4 linked regions of the Arabidopsis thaliana genome follow. The protein of the gene in region 1 interacts with the protein of each later gene in a pairwise test. Each region holds a gene or a part of one and is shown on either strand. Other genes may lie near its edges. The genes, in order: AHP4, CRF3, CRF6 and CRF7.

Region 1 (4,144 bases):
ACGTGGAAGAACTTGAAATAAATTTTAGTAAATGCTGGGCCATTGAAAGAAAACGTTTTACTTTATCCACAAACAAACATTTGATTTATTTATTTGCATTGGTGAGTTAGTTTTTTCATGAAATAGAAGGTCTATGTGATATTCTTAAACGACATCGTTTGAAAAATAGGGCATGTAAGAGAAATTAGATGGAAAAGTGTAATATTAATTGTTTATGATAATGTTATTATTTTAGACTTTTAGCTAAGAATAGTTTGCATCTAAGCCATGGCATTCTTTTTTTTTTAATAATTAGTTTTAGTAGAGACAAATAGTAACATAATGATAATGTTATTTTAGACTTTTACCTAAGAATATTTTGGTTTTTTTTTTCTTTTTTAAATATTTATTAATCAGTACTAGTAGAGACAAATATTAACATAATGATATAAAAATAGGTAAGAATATTTAGGATTTGGACACGGTTCCTGGAAACAAACCGAATAATGTAAAGCTTAGTTTCTTTTTTTTTTCCTTTTGTAAACAAGGTAATGCATTCATCATAGAATCGAAAAAATGCATTTTTTTGGTCCACTCTTTTCTGTATTCCGTTATTAGAGGAAGCCATATGTTACGAGGTAATCGTAGCTATAAAACTCCCAAGGGAAAATTTGGCGATATAAGGGGAAAAACATAGAGACATTTGGACCGTTTATTAACGGACATAATATAAAAGTCCAAAACCTTCTTTATAACGTACATCGAAATATATAAAAATAAAGAGGAACTATTTATTATATAGTTTTGCTACAAAATTCGACGACGATTCCTCATTTATCTCTGTCTCTCTCTCTTTCTCTCTTACTTGGGCCTACGTGCTGTCTCCTTAGGCCCCGCCTGCCTTGCCAACTGTTCATTACAAAAAATTTCACTTCAGCAAATACTATATCAAAAGTGATTGATGATAACTTCTAATCACATTCTAATTATGTAAATTATTAAGCATAATTGATTATTGGCTCGCCTGGAAATAATGTTCAAGCTTCTTTCTCAACGTTGAGTGTTCTTTCTTCAGTTGCTGGAAAGTCCTCAAGCATCTGCAAGTAAGAAAAAGCGAAGAAAACTAATTAGGGGGTCGAAAATGAAGTAAAGTAAAAGTTCAAGGTTCAGCGGATTAATTGCAGCAATTTTAGCCATCTAAACTATACTTATTTTCATTTTGACCCCGTTACTTAGTTTTCTGTTAAAAACGAGAAGCATGAAGGTATATAAGTATAAAGACGAAAGTACCCTTCCGCATTTCCAGCTCTGCAGTATTCCCTAAACGTAGTGCATTCAGCTTTCACTTTACTTGCCCCAATGCTACAAAAAAAAGAAATGCAACATTTGTCAGTATAACTAACGATCATAAAATCTAATTATTTCTGGTTAAAGTAGATTCTGTCATTGAATCCTGAATGAGAATGGAAGTAATTTTAATGTACTTTTGCGTTACATTCTTTTATCTTATAAACATTTAAGTATTCGCATTTCTTTAAGTAAAATTATTTCTTGAAGGCGTAATTAGAATAGTCAAAAACTAAGGGGGGAAATTACCTCGTGCTGCTTCCCTTAAACTGATGCATGTAACTATCCAGCCGATTGAAATCAAATGATCCTCTTTCCCTGCATTGTAAAAATGATTAGAAAACTGAAAAAAAAAAAATATATATATAATAGAAAACAAAATAATACTCACAAAGCTTGGTCAATGTTATTGATTAACCGAGCTGAATCTTTGAAGTATAATGCGGAAACTTCTTCAACAAAATTAGGGTTTGCATCATCTTGGAGCTCTTCTAACTCCATGAATTGTTCGTCGAGATATCCCTGCATGCATTTTCCTATATTAGTCATTTTCTAAATTATATGAAGAAATTCATATATAAGTGGTACGACGTACGAAGTTATATTACGAAAATACGAAGAAACAAACGACCAAAACCTGATCAAAGAGGGACTGCTTGATGAGTGCCACTTGCCTCTGCATGTTTGTTTAAATTTTGAGAATAGATTTAACTATAAGTGCGAAAAATCAAAGTGATAATTCGTTTTTATCTTAGGTAATTCGAGTGGCAATGCAATACTGAAACGTTGGACATCTGAGATATATATAGTGAAATATAGAATAAATAAATAGATCGTATTACATCAAAAAAGAGAAAGTAGAAAAGAGAAGAGAATATTTGTAAAATGATGGGAACCTGCAACGTAAGGGCATGAATGCTGTATTCTACTCCAGACATAAAAAGAAAACGTGTATTCGTTATTATCAGCTTATTTCGATGACACATAGATGTATACTCAGTATAATTTTCTATAACTTCTCTATAAAATATATGTATAACACAAATGGTAGGTGTTATCAAATGATCATATATGTGTGTTGATATATAAGTTTGAATGTATAGTAATCTTTTATATATATAAGATAGTGTTTATGTTAAAGTTTTGAATAAGAGATTTCAATTAGAGAATTCCTCAATGTTGATTGTTTAATTAATAGTATGGTCCATTATGAAACTTAAACTACTGTGGATGATTGATCTATTGCCCAAAAATATAACTGAAATGCATCTTAATTAATAAGTAATCAAAGGATCTCACGAATGGGAATACGACTAATATTATATATATACGTACATCATAGAAACATGTAAAATTTCGAATATAGAACCTAAAAGCTAAACGTTGATACTATACGAAACACACCTTTGGAAATGAGGCAAATATATACTAGTAAAATGTATGTGGACACGAATTTTCCTGAAAGTGAAAAAGAAAGTTATAGATTGAAAAAGTATACAGTTCAAGAAAAATATTCTGAACAGACCATTTCCGTCTTGATTAATTACTGAATTTAATTCATGTTTTCACAAAGTTTTCTATAATATCATTGTCTTTTCTTTTTTCTTTTTTTTTTTGTTATTTTTAAGGTTGTGATTTCCTGATTTTAATGGTACCAATTACGTACACCCACAACATTCAACTATATATGTACATATGAATTTACGAAATGGGCAAAAAAAAGTTGTACTTTTGGAAGAAAAAATTGTTGGAATCTAGCACACTAGCAAACACTATTATTGCTTATCTTTTGTTTCAACAACAGAAAGCAATACTAATTCGAAGTATTTTAGTTTGGGGTCCGGAATTCAATTACTAAGTAAGGATTATATCTTGTGATAAACATTAAACGACATTTTTATATTAAAAACATAGTCAAGGTTAGTATCATGATCAAGACCAGAAATAAATAGATTTCTATTGGGGTTTTCTGTTTGATGTGTTTTCTTTCTCTTTGACCGCTGCAACAAACATTGAAAAATTAGATGCAAATCTTTTCCAAGTTTCTTCCATTAATGTGTGGAGGTGAGAGGGTGTTGTGTGCCAAGGAAAGGCTAGTACTTGTGCGGATGCGTGTGTTTCCTACTTCTATATTGTAACAAAAAAAGAAAGAAGTAGGAAACCAAAAAGAGAGAGAGAGAGAATAAGGTATACATATATCCAACGAGTAAAAAATAAACCATAAATTTCTGTTATTGGAAACAAGGAACAAGTATCTAAAAAGGAAAAACTGAAGAGCACATAACAAGTGTGATCTAAATGATTGACACAAAGACATAAAAGATCTTTTTATCATTACAGCATAATTTGTTCCTTTCTATATCTCTTTCTCTCTCAGACAAGCATCGTGAGATCGAATTACAGAAGAGAGAGAGATTGATCATATACAAAAAAAAATCAGCTTTATTTATTCCTCCGCCCACCAAACCAATCTCACATAAAGGACTTGTCTACTACATATTTTCGGTGGAAGTGGGTTTAGAATCTAAGTTTTATTATTGCTTGCTGTCTCATCTCGATTATTCTCCTTAATTCCGACCTCCCCTCTAATAACAAATATGTAATACCACAAAATTAGAAGAAACAAAACAATTCATTCCAAAACTTGTGAGGTTGGTTTTACATGATAAACCCCAATTTTGTATTTAAATCAAATGTTATTATGTTTACCTTTTAGTATTATACAAGATAAAATTCTAATAAAAGAGGACAAAATTCATGACATTTATCTAAATTTTGTTGTATATGTGTTACACAATCCAATTATTCCTTTATATAT
Region 2 (3,658 bases), on another chromosome or scaffold:
CTTAACTGTCTTTAACTCTTTAATATATGTACATGCATAGAGTTTGTGTTTTGTGTTTAAGTTATATGTATGTAAACTAGCTTTTAATTTGACACATTTTCTCTATCAAATGTACATGGTTTATGTTTATTGAGCAACAAAAAGTCTTTTACATCTTCAAGTTATTTAAATGTTCCTATTTAATATATCAGAAATGTAACATCACATATTTCCGAGAAAAAAACGATTCTAAATTACACTATTTATGAACTAGAGAGAGTAAAATTTAAAATTAAAATGGCTACTTAATTAAAATACAATCATAATTTTTTTTATTTAAAAAGCAAGTATATCATATCTTGGTTTACAATAACATAATTTCAAATCTCATTGCCATCCAAACAGAAAAATAATTTTTTTACTAGTCCAAAAAATTAGGAACAGATGTAGTAAGCTTTGATATCCCTAAACCCAAGTAAAAACCCCAACAAAAAGATATTAGTAGAAGATTGTTTTTACAACAAATCAAAAATATAGTTTTCAAAAAAAAAAAAAAAAAAAGATACTTGAGAAGCGCGTGGAAAGTACGAATAGCAAGCAGTGGTGGAAGAGCGAGTGAGGGAACAAAGAGTACAGAAAAAAGCCTAGAGACGTACCACACCACCGAATTATAAATGGCGGCAAATCCTAGGTTGCTCGCCACGTTACTTCTAGCTGTAAAATGGTAACATTTCAATTTAACTACCATATTTATATTGATTCAAAGATATTTTCGTCCTAAAATCATTTTAATATCTAAAATTAAATACATAACTTCCTCAGTCACATATTCATCTTCCCTAAATTAACATTATTCGATTATCTAACATGGAAAAATGTATATTGTATAATACAACGTATTCAACTTTGACAAAATCGCATTTATTTTATTTCCCTAACAGTTAAAAAATCGCATTTATTTTATTACCCTCAACATTCGTACGTGACAAGTTGAAAAATTGCATTCAAATAGACGAAGTTACCCTCAACAATCATCATTAATTACTTAATGTCGGTCAAAGCTAGTGGAGTGATAAAAAATTTGTTGAGAAGTAGTAAGTAAATTTGTTTTTATTATTAGTATCAAATAAACTAAAAAGGTAAAAAAAAATTTAAAAAAACCGGGACCGGGTATCTTGGGGGTCACGTGACATGAATCGCGAAATTCGAGACTAGAAGCCACGCGCTGACTCAGCACATACAGGAAGGAGCCAAATATCTAATATCGCCACGTGTCACCATGCGACTTGCGCTCATGAATGCGGCGTCCCGTATTTTTAAACAACTCTCTTATACCCGAAACTACCCTTGGAGTTTTGTAGTTAATTACGGAAAAATGCCACTGATGGAGGAGCGGAAAGAAACAGCTTCGACAAGGAAAGAAATCAAATGATATTAAATATTATATATTATATAGTTTTCGAATTTATTGTTTACTTTTGTAAAAATGAATAAAATAATTATGGCTAAAACCCCGAAGAGATCCTATAAATTAGCATTTCAAGAGTGAGCTAGAGAAGGTCTCCACTTGCGAATCGCTAAAAAAAATCACTGTTTCATAACACGTTTTTCTCTCTCACCCACCAAAAAAAAATCTTTTGTTCTTGTTACCAAAAAATCTCGTGATAAATCTCTTCAAACTTTGTTTTATTTTCTTCTTGATTCTCTCGAAATCTCTCTCAACAAACCCAGAAACTTTCCTTGATTCGCAAGCTTTTCTTCCTTTTATATTCTTCATTTTGATGCGAATATAGAGAGAGTCCATAAAAGAAACAGTAATGGACGAATATATTGATTTCCGACCATTGAAGTACACAGAGCACAAGACTTCAATGACTAAATACACCAAAAAGTCATCGGAAAAACTTTCCGGTGGTAAGTCATTGAAAAAGGTTAGTATTTGTTATACTGATCCTGACGCAACAGATTCATCAAGTGACGAAGACGAAGAAGATTTCTTGTTTCCTCGCCGGAGAGTCAAAAGATTCGTTAACGAGATCACTGTTGAGCCTAGCTGTAACAACGTCGTCACCGGAGTTTCGATGAAAGATAGAAAGAGACTCTCTTCTTCCTCCGATGAAACTCAATCTCCGGCGTCGAGTCGTCAACGTCCTAATAACAAAGTTTCAGTCTCCGGTCAGATAAAGAAGTTCCGTGGTGTTAGACAACGGCCATGGGGGAAATGGGCGGCGGAGATTAGAGATCCGGAGCAACGTCGGAGGATTTGGCTCGGGACTTTTGAGACGGCGGAGGAAGCTGCCGTGGTTTATGATAACGCCGCTATAAGACTCCGTGGACCGGACGCTTTAACTAATTTCTCCATACCGCCTCAAGAAGAGGAAGAAGAAGAAGAACCGGAACCGGTTATTGAGGAGAAACCGGTTATTATGACGACGCCAACACCAACAACATCGAGTTCTGAATCAACTGAAGAAGATTTACAACATCTCTCATCTCCTACTTCGGTTCTCAATCACCGGTCAGAAGAGATTCAACAAGTACAACAACCGTTTAAATCAGCTAAACCCGAACCGGGGGTTTCAAATGCACCATGGTGGCATACCGGGTTTAATACCGGTTTAGGTGAATCAGACGATTCATTTCCTTTGGATACTCCGTTTCTTGACAACTATTTCAATGAATCACCACCAGAGATGTCAATATTTGACCAACCAATGGATCAAATTTTCTGTGAAAATGATGATATCTTCAATGATATGTTGTTCTTGGGTGGTGAAACTATGAACATTGAAGATGAGTTAACAAGTTCTAGTATCAAAGATATGGGTTCAACGTTTAGTGATTTTGATGATTCATTGATATCAGATCTATTAGTTGCTTAATATGATGATGAGAGTGAAGAAGAAACCATCAAGCAAATATCTATGGTGTGACTGAAAAATTTTGGTGTTACTTTTTTTTCTTTCATAAGTTCATGAGCTTTTTTGTTTCTTTTTTAATAATTTATTTAGTTTTGTCAGGAGCTTGTAAAACAGTTTTGGAGAAATAGTGGAAAAATAGTTTAATTATTCTGTATTCTTTATTTATTTAAGTAATTGCGTTATTAGTTGCACGAACGTGTTTAATTTTCAAAGCATTTGGCATTTATTTATTTTTTGTTAATTAATTATTTAATTTTAGAAAAGCCAAAGTGGCATTCTCTTTGTAAAGTCATACTATGAGGCGCAAATTACGGTCGTGGCCAGTGAACTGAGAGGTTTTGGCCTTTGGGTTTGGTCTGGTTGAGAAGAGGTGTTTTGTCTTGTAATAGTCATGTTAATCTTAAATTTTGTCAGTAATATAAACTTCAAAATAAAATGTAAATTAATTAATTGTACAGAACACAAAATTATATCATTTATTATTCCGAAAATTACTATCAAATCCTAAATTCGAACATTATCAGAAATTCATGTTTATGATGGAAATGTTTTGGAAAGAGTTCCAAACACATCACAAACTTTTTGTAACCATTTTCGAATATCATTCAAGAACTCTTTCTAAAGACAAGTGTGTGGCAATGTTCTAGAATTCGAACATGTTGGTGGTAGGTGTTTTTTTTAGATGGATTTTTGGGATCCATATGACATTTTATTCATGATGGTCGTTTTTGTAAGTGAAACTTGAGTGTGTTAGATCT
Region 3 (3,442 bases), about 17 Mb from region 1:
AGAGACCACTCTCTAGTCTCTACCTAGTAAAAGTAGTACCTACTACGACTATCCTAACGAATGTCATGCAATTTAATGTTCCATATACAATTTTTTTTTTTTTAATATATTAAAAACAACCCAATAGGGCATGGGCTAAGACCCAATACACAGATGAAATCCAGTTACAAAATAGGTTAAACAGAAAAAGTCACCGACAAACAAAGAGGTTCGAACCTTGCTGCTGGTCGGAAGCAGAGTGGTCGGAGCCTTATATCTGGCGGACTCAAGCATCACAGCTTTGCGGCCGCAGACGACGGATCGAGAAACGCAGCTGGAAGATTCCGGTTTCCATCTGCACCTATCTCCGCCGTCGCACCAACCCACCACAACTCTCCCAGAAAGCTAACCACTCCGACTTACCGGTTCCGCGATATCTGTTCCATGCCAAGCAACCCGATACACTAGAGTTTAACCCCTCTCCGACTTAATGTTCCATATACATACTACTAACTATTATTAAATCAAACTGACTGTTATTTTTAAGGTCTAACTTTTAACACGAGTACCTGACTAATCCCACGTAAAAAAAAAGTCTTGAAATCACATGTATCTTTTTATAAAATCACAGGTGAATTCGTGTAAGTTATATAAGGTTCAAAATAAAACAATATAGAATTACTGTAAGTTACAAGATTTGGTATATTAACTTGTAGAATTATCGATATAATAAAAGCTTATTTTTCAATTATTATTTTAGGACCAAATCTAGTCAAAGCTCAACCATTAACTATGGAAATCTAATTTCTAGTTACCTTTTTAATAGTAGCTTTTTCTAATAAAGTTTCTGATAAGAGACTTGGTCTCCAAGCAAAAGATCATAAATTTTTTCCGAAATTAAAAATATATTTTAATATTAAAGACGAGATTTTATTACTCTTTCAAACACATCGTTAGATTCATTACCATTAAACTTCACAATTTCCATATTGGGTCAATGCGAATTGACACATACTCGTGACCAATCTCACACGCGTGGAGCCCACTAGCCGGCGCGTGTAGCAAACGTAAAACAGACCGCGCGTAAAAGAGTTAAAAGTTGCTTGGAGACCAAGCTATAGATTAGGACAATTGGCTCTACTTTCGGTACGGTAACTACCACGTGTCATAAATCTAACGTCTCAATCTGAGATGCGGAAAGCCGTTTCTGGATCCCCCATTGGCCGCCACGAAACCGCCCTTAAGCATCGTCCCTCTTTACATTAAATCCAAATCTAATTCCCGGTTTATAAACTCCATTAACCGGATTAAATTTCAATAGGTTAAGCTTTGATAAACGTATGTCATTTCACCAACTATATTTTAAGATACGTTTAGTTATAAGGTTGAATGAGTTTTGATTGGGTCAGTGTCTCATATCATATGAATAGTGTTGAACACGCATCAATTTCTCTGTAACAGTTAAAATCTAATTAAATTAATTACATAGAAAAAATCACGTTACTAAACAAAAATCTCCAAAAATAGTGATGAGTTAATAGTATTTAAGAAGGATGTTCCTGAGAAACGGCGATTCTTCTTTAACCTTTTGACTCTTCTTCTCTCTCTCTCTGCAAATTCAAAACAGTGAAAAAAACCTCTCTTCATTTTTTAACTCCCTCTCTCTCTCTCTCTCTATGGAGAGACGAACGAGACGAGTGAAGTTCACAGAGAATCGTACGGTCACAAACGTAGCAGCTACACCATCTAACGGGTCTCCGAGACTGGTCCGTATCACTGTTACTGATCCTTTCGCTACTGACTCGTCTAGCGACGACGACGACAACAACAACGTCACGGTGGTTCCAAGAGTGAAACGATACGTGAAGGAGATTAGATTCTGCCAAGGTGAATCTTCTTCCTCCACCGCGGCGAGGAAAGGTAAGCACAAGGAGGAGGAAAGCGTAGTGGTTGAAGATGACGTGTCGACGTCGGTGAAGCCTAAAAAGTACAGAGGCGTGAGACAGAGACCTTGGGGAAAATTCGCGGCGGAGATTAGAGATCCGTCGAGCCGTACTCGGATTTGGCTTGGGACTTTTGTCACGGCGGAGGAAGCTGCTATAGCGTACGATAGAGCCGCGATTCATCTCAAAGGACCTAAAGCGCTCACGAATTTCCTAACTCCGCCGACGCCAACGCCGGTTATCGATCTCCAAACGGTTTCCGCCTGCGATTACGGTAGAGATTCTCGGCAGAGCCTTCATTCACCGACCTCTGTTCTAAGATTCAACGTCAACGAGGAAACAGAGCATGAGATTGAAGCGATCGAGCTATCTCCGGAGAGAAAGTCGACGGTTATAAAAGAAGAAGAAGAATCGTCGGCGGGTTTGGTGTTCCCGGATCCGTATCTGTTACCGGATTTATCTCTCGCCGGCGAATGTTTTTGGGATACCGAAATTGCCCCTGACCTTTTGTTTCTCGATGAAGAAACCAAAATCCAATCAACGTTGTTACCAAACACAGAGGTTTCGAAACAAGGAGAAAACGAAACTGAAGATTTCGAGTTTGGTTTGATTGATGATTTCGAGTCTTCTCCATGGGATGTGGATCATTTCTTCGACCATCATCATCACTCTTTCGATTAAAAATCTCTTCTTTTTTGGGGAAATTTTTGTGTGGTGATGATGACGTGGATACATCGTGACCGTCGGCTTACCTTTTTTAGTCTGAATGACGTGGACTGTTCAGATCAACTGAAGCGCAAACCCAAAAAAACTAGGGTTTTGTTTTATTAATTTGTGGGTAAATATTTTAGTTAAGAAGAAGATAAGTATGTTAATGTTTATCAAGGTTTGGACCTTTCGTTGTTTTGGTTCCTCTCTCTGAGATTGTCTCAACGGTAGGAAGCAGTATATAAATGTGTTTCTATGTCTATAAATTATTTATGAAAAACAAATCGTATGGAATTTTATTATGATTATGCGACAAGTGAAACAAGTCTTTACTTCGAAGTAAAAAAACAAAAAAAAAACTTATTCACAAATAGAATTGTCAGAACAGTCTTGGAAATTCAAGAAAAGTCATGATCTTGACTAATTATAAATGAATGATTGTATCATATTATTGATATCATCTTTTGTGATTAGAGATCAAAAAATATTTATATATATAGTACTTTAAAATATAAAAAATTATATTTTAAATAGTAATCACCATGCACCAACACCTCTCTTCTTCTTTTTTTTTTTTTTTGCATATGCAATTGTTGTTTTGTTGTGACAAATAAAATAAAACTGTGGTGCTCCTATCTACCAATTATTATGAAGCGATGTCATGGTTTACTTATCGCTTTCTACAAAAATGTTCTCAGTCATGTAGAATTGGTGCTGGTTTTGTTGAGTGTATTAAATGTAAATCCGTATCCTTTTTTTATATATAACATAAATCTTTAATATAAAGTATGTGACAAATTGTGAAAAATCTT
Region 4 (3,385 bases), on another chromosome or scaffold:
CAAAACAAAATCGAACTGAAAAAACCCCTAAAATAAGAAGAAATATAAACAAAGCGACAACGAAACATAACAAGAACGAGAAAGTACGTTGGGGGATTGAATTCAGCTCCAAAATAAGTGTGGTTCTATGAAATTTTTCAGACCTATTATTGATAACATTTCTAAGATGGATATGGACGTTTATACATATAATATGGTAGTCCCCTAGATTTTATAATAAAATTTGAAAAACGTTATTTAAAGAAATGTATACGGTGGCCATTTTTCAATCCAGATTAGAGAAGTAATTGTGGTCGTAGAATATTAATTCATGCATGTCCTCATAGTCAATTTTACAAAAAATCAGAAAGTTTAGTCTTTCACTGATGTGACCTGTGGAACATCATGATATTTTATGAATGTTAAATTTACCATTTTTTTGTTTTGACAGCTTATAAAATCAGATAGTTTATACGTTAACCAAAAGTGCCGTGTCAAATAATACGACTTCCGGCCCATAGATTTCTTTTATCTGGCTACAAATGAAAAATGTTTAGTTATACATATTTTATAGAGTCTTATGTCATGTTCTTATATTTTGTGGTACTTACTTATACACCAGGAAAAACAATCAGTGGTCACGAGAATACTTTAAAGTAACAGAGAGTTGATTGTGCTTAAGAATAAACTTAATTGGAAAAATTTGGTTTAGGGGAAGATTAGGTTGATATTTTGGTAAACGTCCCTTTTACCTGTTCGGTTTTATCTTCTCTTCATATTTAGTGGTGCAACGCAACTTCTGGAGATGAATAATTTATAGTCCTGTAACTTGTGGAGGCGAATAATAAATAATTCAGTCATATCATATGCATATATGAATATATGAGAAAACGATATTAATATAATTAATATCGTTGTAACTTGTAAGTGCGTCATATATAGTTGAAATCATACGAAAGATATCGCAATTAAGGATCAATCGAAGAGTAATATTATATTATTTCACACTTTTTCAAACCTGGTCTTACACATAACACATCTTATAAAACATGATATCATGCGTTTTACGTTAATTGGTTGATAATTTGATTCACTGAGTGGGTTTTACGTTTTCTTGTTGATTAAGATTTAGGGTATAAGCAAGTTAACTAAGCAACTATAGGGTACCAAAACTATCTTTGTAAAATAAACATATACAACAAATGTTTTGATAGAGTTCATGAAATTGTACAATGCATAAAATAAAACATTGAGAAGTTCTAACTGAGTGGTCACATATGTTAGCGGTCCATACATAATTTAATTCGTCATCATTAGAGAAACAATATTGCAAATATACTAAATCTGAGTTTGAGAAAAAATATAGCTTGTAGACACACTTCAGTACCTAGTGATCAAATTATCATATGACATATGATACTTATGTGAGTGTGACTATGTAATTCCTAGTTGAAAAAATACATTGATGATTGAAAATTACAGTCTAGAAATTATACCAACTAAATTACCTTGGTACAACTTATATAAGTAAGTAGTCCCTATAATAAGCCTACACTCTCTACAAAATAAGTAAAGGAGAAGCCTTGAAGGAGAACAACATGTCAATTCAAAATAGTCATGGAATCACTAAAAGGCCTTAAAGAAGTTCTTAAGGCCCAAAATAAATAGGTTTTTCGGAATTTGAAGTCCAGTTTTCTGCGAACCAGACTAGTTCTGCTCACTTTGGGTTCTTTCAGGTGGGCTTGAAAACTAGACAACTGAGTCAGACCAAGATCTTTTTTTCTTTTCAAATCAATATTGTTGTTGTTGTTGTTGTAAATCAATCTTTGTGTAGAAAAAAAAGTGAAAAAAATGATCTTGTTATGAAATTCAAAATCCATACAGTATTTGTTTTTCCTTCATGATTTTACTTTTTTACCAATTAACTTAATAATATTTTTGTCCGAAAACAGATTTTTCGAAATATTTGTTGGTCATCAATTTTGAATTCAAAACCGACTTGATGAGATTGATCAATAGTTCAATACTCATAATTACACACGGATTCTAAAAGATAAGAGAAACAGTAAGTCGGTTAATTTTGGATTAAGTAACGCACAAGCCAAAGCCTTCTCCTGATCGAATCATAAACCAAACAAATCTTTCTTTTAAAAGAAGCGGACACAAACCCTAACCACCAACCCTCTCCGTCGTCAAATTTCCCGGCGAAAGATGAAACGAATTGTTCGAATTTCATTCACAGACATGGAAGCAACCGATTCTTCAAGCAGCGAAGACGAGTCACCACCGTCATCACGCCGTCGAGGTAAGAAGCTAGTCAAGGAAATCGTAATCGATCATTCTGATCCCCCGGAGGTCGGAAAAACTCGGTTCAAAATCAGGATTCCGGCGAGTTTACTTGCTGCGAGGAATACGACGGCGAATAAGAAGAAGTTCCGTGGCGTGAGGCAGAGACCATGGGGGAAGTGGGCGGCTGAGATTAGATGTGGTAGAGTTAAAGGAAGACCTGAACGAATTTGGCTTGGAACTTTTGAAACAGCTGAAGAAGCTGCTCTTGCTTATGATAACGCTGCGATTCAGTTGATTGGACCTGATGCGCCGACTAATTTTGGCCGTCCTGATGTTGATTCTGCGGTGGTGAAAAAGCAAGATTCTGATGCTAGTGGTGGTGCTTCTGAAGAAGTTGTTTGATTTTCTTGTTTATAACTAACTTTGCAAGGTTACTTTTGTTTATCATCATCTTTTGTAAATTTGATCATCTTGCTCTTTGCTTTTTAACTTCTCTTGTACATGTTTGAATTATAAAAGTTCTAATTTTTCAATCCAGATTCTTGGTTTTCATAATTGTACATTTTGATCAGCATAACTATTGCTTAAAATTTCCATATTGGTTTTACCTTAATTGATCAAAAGTCTTTCTTTTGGATCGAAATTGAGACAATTGTTCTACCAACTGTACTTGAAAAACTGCTATATTTCTCTTGCAATTTGGTTATCTCCTGATCTCTTTTACTTATGATGACTCTGTTAGATGCTGCTTTCATGAGCGTTTCTTTGTTAAACTAACTTGGTCGGTCTTGTTGTCACTTTCACCAACTGAAAAGAATTAATATGTTTTAAGTATGTTAAATTGCTGTCAAGCTAGCTAGGGATGTTGTACCGACCAGCGGAACCGGTGGAGCAGTAACTGATTTATTAAAAAAGGTTGTGAAAAAACTGATCTGGTTAACTTTTTGAGCCGGTCCTCCTCAGTAGGACCATCTTTGTCAAAACTTTGATCAGACCGAAAAGCTGTGTTCAACCACATTAGCCTAAAGCTTAGCTCACAAAGACCATCAGAACAGAACAGGCTGAATCATCATCACATATTTTTTTAACAAAACCATATAACAAACTATTAGAACTG

What was found.
Region 2: the proteins of AHP4 (region 1) and CRF3 interact in a protein complementation assay, tested with the Arabidopsis thaliana proteins (one study listed by BioGRID).
Region 3: the proteins of AHP4 (region 1) and CRF6 interact in a protein complementation assay, tested with the Arabidopsis thaliana proteins (one study listed by BioGRID).
Region 4: the proteins of AHP4 (region 1) and CRF7 interact in a protein complementation assay, tested with the Arabidopsis thaliana proteins (one study listed by BioGRID).

What each region holds. Positions count from the first base shown.
Region 1 is NC_003074.8:5,552,215-5,556,358, reverse strand, and holds AHP4 (HPT phosphotransmitter 4), read right to left. Parts: upstream 2,163-4,144; 5' UTR 2,009-2,162; coding exon 1,964-2,008; intron 1,886-1,963; exon of another isoform or gene 1,876-1,885; coding exon of another isoform or gene 1,849-1,875; coding exon 1,718-1,848; intron 1,645-1,717; coding exon 1,576-1,644; intron 1,342-1,575; coding exon 1,270-1,341; intron 1,077-1,269; coding exon 1,004-1,076; coding exon of another isoform or gene 992-1,003; exon of another isoform or gene 966-991; intron 889-965; coding exon 841-888; 3' UTR 570-840; downstream 1-569. UniProt on the Arabidopsis thaliana protein: Functions as a two-component phosphorelay mediator between cytokinin sensor histidine kinases and response regulators (B-type ARRs). Plays an important role in propagating cytokinin signal transduction through the multistep His-to-Asp phosphorelay.
Region 2 is NC_003076.8:21,617,164-21,620,821, reverse strand, and holds CRF3 (cytokinin response factor 3), read left to right. Parts: upstream 1-1,540; 5' UTR 1,541-1,796; coding exon 1,797-2,861; 3' UTR 2,862-3,108; downstream 3,109-3,658.
Region 3 is NC_003074.8:22,803,619-22,807,060, forward strand, and holds CRF6 (cytokinin response factor 6), read left to right. Parts: upstream 1-1,561; 5' UTR 1,562-1,655; coding exon 1,656-2,603; 3' UTR 2,604-2,909; downstream 2,910-3,442.
Region 4 is NC_003070.9:8,134,631-8,138,015, reverse strand, and holds CRF7 (Integrase-type DNA-binding superfamily protein), read left to right. Parts: upstream 1-1,981; 5' UTR 1,982-2,190; coding exon 2,191-2,670; 3' UTR 2,671-2,836; downstream 2,837-3,385.